Macaca fascicularis: one gene and its partner. The protein of the gene in region 1 interacts with the protein of each later gene in a biochemical or structural test. Links are inferred from orthologs where the notes say so. Each region holds a gene or a part of one and is shown in the gene's direction. Other genes may lie near its edges.

Evidence for each region. The genes of interacting proteins can lie anywhere in the genome.
Region 2: the proteins of CDK9 (region 1) and CCNT2 form a complex in vitro, tested with the Homo sapiens proteins (4 studies listed by BioGRID, with this or other methods). The link is inferred for Macaca fascicularis from reciprocal best matches to the Homo sapiens genes CDK9 and CCNT2.

The regions. Positions count from the first base shown.
Region 1 is NC_088389.1:16,211,078-16,215,104, reverse strand, and holds the start of CDK9 (cyclin-dependent kinase 9), read left to right. Parts: upstream 1-1,226; 5' UTR 1,227-1,341; coding exon 1,342-1,433; intron 1,434-1,894; coding exon 1,895-1,976; intron 1,977-2,713; coding exon 2,714-2,804; intron 2,805-3,142; coding exon 3,143-3,309; intron 3,310-3,409; coding exon 3,410-3,581; intron 3,582-3,739; coding exon 3,740-3,888; intron 3,889-4,027. UniProt on the Homo sapiens protein: Protein kinase involved in the regulation of transcription.
Region 2 is NC_088386.1:20,742,166-20,746,370, forward strand, and holds the start of CCNT2 (cyclin-T2), read left to right. Parts: upstream 1-1,399; 5' UTR 1,400-1,430; coding exon 1,431-1,588; intron 1,589-2,386; coding exon 2,387-2,468; intron 2,469-4,205. UniProt on the Homo sapiens protein: Regulatory subunit of the cyclin-dependent kinase pair (CDK9/cyclin T) complex, also called positive transcription elongation factor B (P-TEFB), which is proposed to facilitate the transition from abortive to production elongation by phosphorylating the CTD (carboxy-terminal domain) of the large subunit of RNA polymerase II (RNAP II).

The DNA.
Region 1 (4,027 bases):
CTTTGTCGCCGTGTGACCTTGGGCAAATGACCTCACCTCTGAGCCTCAATGTCCTCTTCTGCAAAATGGGTTAGTGATCCTGACTATGGGGCTGTTGATTCAGGATTCGGCGGGAACGCCCAGCACTTCCTGAGCACACAAAGAGTGCTGAGAAAATGGTAGCTGTTTTTTGCGATTATTGACCCGGGGCCTGATCAGCTCTGGCGCGACTCGGCGAAGGCGCGAGTCCTGCGGGTCCCATCCCTGCCTCCTGGAGAGCCAGGCTCCAGCGATAGAAGGCCCGGGCGTTGCTTGCTCGTCGCCTCCAGTGCCGCCGCGCCCCCTGGCGGCCGTCGGTTGCCATGTCAACGGAGGGTGGCGGGGACCGGGGGAGGCGGAGGCGGGGGCCGTTTTCTCCTCCCAGGGCCGGAGGACGCTCCCTCCGCGCCTCCCGCCTTCGCCTCTTGGGGGGGCACTCCGAGCCGGGGAGGAAGGGGCTCTCCGCGGCAGCCGGCATGTGGGGGTAAACTGAGGCACGCGGCTGGGCGCCCGCAGCCAGGTGCCGAGCGCGGGGCCCCACCTCCGAAGGCGGAGGAGGGGCCGCGGGCGGTGACGCGCCGAGGGCGGCCGGCGGACAGCGAGCGGGCGGGCGGGCGGGCGGTGGCGGCGGCGGCAGGTGCGGCCGCGGAGGGTGGGAGGGAGGAGGGCGGGGGCGGGCGGAGGAGGAGGGGAAGGCGAGGCCGGGCACCTCCCCCTTTATAACGCGCCCCCTCCCGGGCTCTCGGGCCGTCTCCTAGTCGGCTCTTCCCGTCTCGCCCCCTCGCCCGGCCGCCCCGGGCCCGGGCCCGGCCAGGGAGCCCCCAGGCCGCGGCTCGGGGGCTGCCCCCCCGCCCGCCGCCCCGCGCAGCCCGGCGGAGGCGGCGCCGTCGGAGGAGGAGGAGCAGGGCACTGCGGCTGGCCCCGGATCGGGCGCCAGAGCGGCAGCAGCTTCGGCAGCAGCGGCGGCCCGGGCCCATGCAGCGGGACGCGCCACCCCGAGCCCCAGCTCCGGCGCCCCGGCTCCCCGCGCCCCCGATCGGGGCCGCCGCCAGTAGTGGCGGCGGCGGAGGCGGGGGCAGCGGCGGCGGCGGAGGCGCCTCTGCAGCTCCGGCTCCCCCTGGCCTCTCGGGAACTACAAGTCCCAGGGGGCCTGGCGGCGGGCGGCGGGCGGAAGAGGCGGGGTCGGCGCCGCGAGGCCGGAAGTGGCCGTGGAGGCGGAAGTGGCGCGGCCGCGGAGGGGCCTGGAGCGCGGCGGCGGCGGGACCCGGAGCGGGAGCGGCAGCAGCAGCGGCTGGGGGCGGCGGCGGCGCGTTGGAGGCGGCCATGGCAAAGCAGTACGACTCGGTGGAGTGCCCCTTTTGTGATGAAGTTTCCAAATACGAGAAGCTCGCCAAGATCGGCCAAGGCACCTTCGGGTAAGGCTGGGCCCCTCGGGGCCGGGAGCCGTGGGCCTGCACCCCTAGGGCGGACGTCGGGATGCCCCGGGCCCCGCCCGAGTTGGTAGAGAAACCGTCTGTCCCCGGGCTTGCCCACTGGTCTTTAGGCCGCGCCGCACCCCGCCCCGGCCTGAAGGAGCCGGCTGGTGGGGAGGAGCCTGAGGCCGGTGGTGGGGGCGGGGAGGGGCTGCAGAGAGGCGCCCGTGAGGGGAACGGGATCTCTCCAAGAGACGCCCAAGTGAGGAGAAGGGACTGAGAGAAGGAAGCAGAAGCTCCGAACGAGACAGGGTGCCGGGTGGCGGGGTAGCCGCGTGCCCTGGGTACTTACCCCAGCCCCGCCCGGGAATCTTTTTGCTGCTGCCCCTCCTCCGGTAGTGGGGGAGGGGCGGGCCCTGCGGAAATCGCCTGATGAGCTCTCGGGTCTCCCTTTCCGCCTGCAGGGAGGTGTTTAAGGCCAGGCACCGCAAGACCGGCCAGAAGGTGGCTCTGAAGAAGGTGCTGATGGAAAACGAGAAGGAGGGGGTGAGTACGGATCGGGCGTGCGGGCCAGCCGTCTAACTGCCCAGGACCCCGGGTCGGTTTTCCACCCTGCTGCTTCTAGGAGTCTCAGGTTGAGATTTAATTTTTTTCGTAGTAGTTCAGAAATTTCCAGGGAATTTGGCCTCCACCCTAAAACTAAATGCTTCATTCTTAGGCAGTTATGGGTGAGACCGGGAGGGGGAGTTGATGCATGCATCGTGTGCACTTTAGTTCACGAAGTTAGGAAGCCTTTAAACACCTTTTTTTAGTGTTAAATTTTGCTTAATGTTAAAGAAAGATACATATGCATGCAAATTTTTGAAAAGTGACTAATACTCAGTTATTTAATGTGTTTAAAAGGAGCGGTCCCTCCACCCCATCTTAGCTCAAGTACAACGTCCCATAAACCTTCCTTTTCCTGATGTGCTTTAGCGAGGACATTTTTGAATCGTCATGTTTGTTGCCAACGAAACAGCCATAGAGCTGAAGTTTGAAGGCTGAAACCGCCGAGCATTTAGTGGCTAATAGCAAAGTATTGCTGTTTCAGTTTGTTGTCTCAAATTATCTCCTTGAAGTGTGCATGCTCCTACTATATCCATTTTACAGGCAGAGCTTCTGAGACAGCTGGTTTCAGAGCCCATGATCTTGCTCTGTCTCCCAACTTGCCTCTCAATATAGACCCCAGGGCTGGGCTCTGTACTGCGCTCACTCTTGACCACTTTCCCCTCTCTCCCACCCAGTTCCCCATTACCGCCTTGCGGGAGATCAAGATCCTTCAACTTCTAAAACATGAGAATGTGGTCAACTTGATTGAGATTTGTCGAACCAAAGGTAAGTTGTTTGGATCTTATGAGGAGATGACACTTGTAGCCTAAGGTTTTGTTCGTAAAGTTGGAACTAGACCCACCTAAACTGCCTCCTCTTAACTCAGATGGACCCATGGTGACTGCTTTCTCTGGTCCTCTTTCATCGTAGCTGGTGCTTCCTCGGGGTCTGCCCTGGCCCAGAAGAGGCACTCAGAAAATATTTGACCAGTGAAGGAAGGAACAGACAGATGCTCTGGAGGGCTTGGGTGCCCATGGGTTGGAGCAGGAAGAAAGAAACTGGTTGTGGGAAAGTGTGTTGGGTGTGGCTTTCTTGACTTTTTCTTCCTTGTATTCCTGCCTCAGCTTCACCCTATAACCGCTGCAAGGGCAGTATATACCTGGTGTTCGACTTCTGCGAGCATGACCTTGCTGGGCTGTTGAGCAATGTTTTGGTCAAGTTCACGCTGTCTGAGATCAAGAGGGTGATGCAGATGCTCCTTAACGGCCTCTACTATATCCACAGGAACAAGGTGGGGGCGAGAGCTGGGAGGAGGACCCAGGCTTGGGCTGGCCTTGGCTCCCACTCCCGGGTGGATATCACTGAAGGAGCCACTCTTGCCCTTCTTGCAGATCCTGCATAGGGACATGAAGGCTGCTAACGTGCTTATCACTCGTGACGGGGTCCTGAAGCTGGCAGACTTTGGGCTGGCCCGGGCCTTCAGCCTGGCTAAGAACAGCCAGCCCAACCGCTACACCAACCGTGTGGTGACACTCTGGTACCGGCCCCCGGAGCTGTTGCTCGGTGAGGACTCCCGAGCGGGCCGAGGGGGGTGAGGGCCAGGCATCTACCTGGCCCCCGCCCCCCCACTGCCAGGGCTTCTTGAGCTGCCGGCCCTGGGGCATTGAGTCTCAGGAGGCCTCCGGGCTCAAGGGGCCCTCCTGGTGCGCTCTTCTTCCCAGGGGAGCGGGACTACGGCCCCCCCATTGACCTGTGGGGTGCTGGGTGCATCATGGCAGAGATGTGGACCCGCAGCCCCATCATGCAGGGCAACACGGAGCAGCACCAACTCGCCCTCATCAGTCAGCTCTGCGGCTCCATCACCCCTGAGGTACGGGGTCCCGGTCCCCCGGCAGAGGAGTGGGGAGTGGAATGGAGGGAGCGCTCCTCTCTGGAAGGGAGGCTGGTTTGGTGACAGGGCCTGCCCTTGAGAGCCACACAGGCTATGCGCCAGTCTTGGTTCCATCAGC
Region 2 (4,205 bases), on another chromosome or scaffold:
TATTCTTGTGCAATGCATATACTGAGCGTGGGAGCCCCCAAAAAATCACTTGCCTTCATGGTCTTTGGCAAATAAATATTTTATTTTTTTTATTTTTGAGACAGGGTCTTGCTCTATCGCCCAGGAGGGATAGGGTGCAGCAGCGAGATCTAGCTCACCGCAACCTCCACCTCCTGGGCTCAAGCCATCCTCTCACTTCAGCCTCGGGAGTAGCTGGGACTACAGGCGCGCCACCAAGCCCGGCTAATTTTTGTACTTTTGGTAGAGACAGAGTCTAACCATGTTGCCCTTGCGCTCGAACTCCTGACCTCAAGTGATCGACCCACTGGACCTCCCCAAGCGCTGAGGTTACAGGCGTGAGCCACCGTGCCCGGCCTCCAAATACTTAGGACTTTAAACTTGGAAACCCTATTCACAACACAAACTCCGAGTGAAGCTCTGTGGAGCTTTCTTACAGGAAGAAATGCAGGAGTTAATCAACAGGTATGTGGGATGTTCCCGCATCAAATCCTAAAGATAAAATTTTAACCCAGTTCCTCTTGCACGTATCTGCTTCTCCCCAACCTTGTCTCGCAGAAGCCACAGCACGGTCTGAAAACACGCCTCGTCTAGATTCAACACCTCATTTAGAAATTCAGTTTCTCGTTGCTAGTTGGATAGCGTTTGGCAAGTAATTTGAAAAAATAAAAATAAACCCACGGACGGAGTGGTCTGGGATTTAAACAACATAACGTAAGGTGAAAAAAGCACTCAGGCGCGGACAGCCATGGAGCGTGACTTCCTCTGCACTCTTTCCCGGCCAGCTCCACGCCAGAGCCGCGCGCTAGGCGGAGGCTGTTGGTAGCGGAGGCCGGAGTCGCACGCCTACGAGACTGCGCGGACCCACCCGAAAGGAAAATGGAGGTAGTGGCGTGAGGCTGCGACAGTGAAGGGTATTTTTCTCTTTTTAACGGGCCGCTAGACCTCCCGTCAAAGGAAGCGCCCGACGGGCCTTCGAAGTCCACGCCCAGACCCCACAGCGCAGCCGCCCGACCGCCTCTCTCCACACCGGCCAGGGTCCAGCCTCTCCCACTCTCCTCTCCCCGCCCCGCCCCGCCCCTCCGCCCAGCCAACCCTAGACCCGGCATGCGCTGCGCCGACCTTTTCCTTCCGAGCCGACCCCCACCTTCGGCGCCTCCCAATGACAAGAGGCGCGGAGCATTGTGGTCCCGCGCGCGAGAGCGAGGCCGAGGACAGAAAAAGAAAGCAAAAGACCAGGGCGAGCCGGTAGAGCAGACCCCGCGCATGCGCACGGGCGGGGGCGGTGGTGAAAAAGGGCGGTGCGTGGTCTACGGCGAGCGGAGTGGGGCGGGGTCGCGCGCCTTGGCTGGGAGTCCGCGAGCCGGGAGGGGCGGGGGGTGAATGAGGGAGCGGGCGGAGGAGGAAGTGTCATGGCGTCGGGCCGTGGAGCTTCTTCTCGCTGGTTCTTTACTCGGGAACAGCTGGAGAACACGCCGAGCCGCCGCTGCGGAGTGGAGGCGGATAAAGAGCTCTCGTGCCGCCAGCAGGCGGCCAACCTCATCCAGGAGATGGGACAGCGTCTCAATGTGTATCCTTTCCTATCCTGCGCCGCTCACGCCCTGTTTCCCTTGCCCGGTCGCCGGGCCTGGTGCTCCGCGAACATGGCGCCGCCGGCCTCGGCCTTCGCTGGACCTCGGCCCCGCGGTCAGGGAAGTAAGGCTCCAGCTCGGGCAGTCGCGAGGGGCTAGCAGAGGAGGGGAGGAGGAGATAGGACCCCAGGAATGCGGGCCAGGAGTCTGCGTTGTGTAATCTGTTTCGGGCAGCGCGTGGTGGTGGCGGCGGGGGATGGGAGTGTGGCTCAGGCGAAAGAGAAATTTTAGGGATTATTGCAGAAAAGGGGCGGCTCCTTGGACTTGTCCCTGTCCCCTAAGGGTTTGAGAGGTAGAAGGGTTAGCGATGCTGAAAGGCCTAAGTGTTTTCCGCAGCCTTTCCCCGCTCTCCTCGCCGGCTTGATGGCGGCTCTCTTCTACCTTGGGAGCGCACTGGAGGTCTTTTATGTTCTTGGCGTGGTTTTGTATGGGTGTGTGCGCGCGCGTTTCAACTGTTTCATTTTGAGTTTAGTCAGTCGTAGCCATTGATAAATAGTTCCAGGGCCCTCAGCGCTGTGAGAGTGAAAAGATCAGCAGTTCTTCCTCCCATTTATTTGGCGTAGAGTCTATTCTCTTCCTGCCGCCCCACCCCCCGCGGGCGTTTATTTCTTTATTTCTAGTTTGGCGTTTGGATTTGAATGGGAGGTATTGGAAAAGAACCTGGGAATTTTCCATCAAAATTGTTTTGGGAATGAGATCTTGCTTTTGTCAGATATTTCCTAAATACTGTGTTCCAGCTCTCAGCTTACAATAAACACTGCGATTGTTTATATGCACAGGTTTTATATGCACCATTCTTTCACCAAATTCAACAAAAATGTAAGTACTAGTTTGTTGCCTGTTTTTACTATGCGCAAATTTGAGGGTAAATCGATACGCAGAAAAAAAGTTGGTCATTGCGTTGTTGGATTTAGTGTTCTGAATTAACGGTAAACGTATATCACGTGATAAATATTTTGCTTCAAATGCGGGCTTTTTGTGTTTTTAAAATTTGTGATGAATTAAACTGCAAGGCACTGTTAAGCTCTGCCAGGCCTTTTAGGCTAAAAAAATAAATTTACTTCTTTAGAGAGTTATTACATAAGTTTTCTTCATTTAAATTTTATACCTAACATTTGAATAATTTCAGTAGTAATGTACAGTGGAATTGGACAAGTCTGGTCGTTCTGTGATACATCTTAATTATGTTGTACTCATTGTTTAAAATACTGTGAATTGAAATTAAATTAATTATGACATTCTTTTGAAAGAGCTGTTTAGCAGAAATAATTCATTTCTTCATTTGCTAACCCAGTAATTTCTTAAGATGTCAAACTTTTCTGTTTATCACGTTAGCATCAATTGTCTCCTAAAATTTTGGGTGATTCAGACGTCAATTCTTGCTTCAGATATAGTACGTCAGGAGTATGTTTATGTATTAGTAGTAAAATTTACACTTGAATATTAAGGTACATAACCTGTAAACCTTGACAAATAGAGTAATAGAATTTTGTTGAAATGTTAATTTCATTTATGAAAGATGAGTTTGGTGTATGTTAAGTAACATGCATACTGTGTTGTGTGTGAATAAAGAAAATTGCATATTTAGAAATGTTTAACCCTGCTTTAATTCTGTTTTTGTTACTTTTTATCATAGTTATTTTTAGAGTATTATTCTGAAAGGTATGTGTAGAAAAATGAACCAAAGAAGACTTTCTGCTGTATGTGGATAGTCATTAGGACTTATTTGCTAAGAGAACAATCCCAGGAAAGATCCTCAGAATATTATTTTTGAAATGGAAGAAAGGCTTCATGGATTAGATTGAGTCCTACCTTAATCTCCTCGGATCCTATTTCGTTTATCAGTTTGGCATATAGGTTTATCTTGGACCATATATATTTTAATATACATTTTGGTCTTTTGAAGACTTCTTGCTTCTATTTCTTTTTTAAATCTGCGTAGTTCTTTCTCTGTTGCTTCTAGTTTTCCTAGTTATTTCTTGTGCATAACTTAGGTCAGTGATAGTGTTATGGAAGAGAAAGGAAGCCATTGGTGATTACATTTAGATTAAGAGAATTTAATTTTTATATAAATTGCCTCCAAAGGCAGTAGTGAACTAATGAGTGTTAATATAAATGTGGTTTTCCTTACGTAATCCTGGATAATAATGGTCGAAATTACAAATCAAAATAGTTCTGACTATTCTTTATATGGCTACAGATGTCTCATTTGCTGTCTGGTTTCTACTTCCAATAAATGATCTAGCCACAAGTCTTCACTTATTTATTTATTTATTTATTTATTTATTTATTTATTTATTTTTGAGACGGAGTCTCACTCTGTCACACATGCTGGAGTACAGTGGTGCTGCCGCAGCTCACCACAACCTCTGCCTCCCTGGTTCAAGCTATTCTCCTGCCTCAGCCTCCCGAGTAGCTGGGACTACAGGTGCATGCCACCATGCCCGGCTAATTTTTGTATTTTTAGTAGAGGGGGGTTTCACCATGTTGGCCAGGCTGGTCTTGAGCTCCTGACCTCAGGTGATCTGCCCCCCTCGGCCTCCAAAAGTGCTGGGA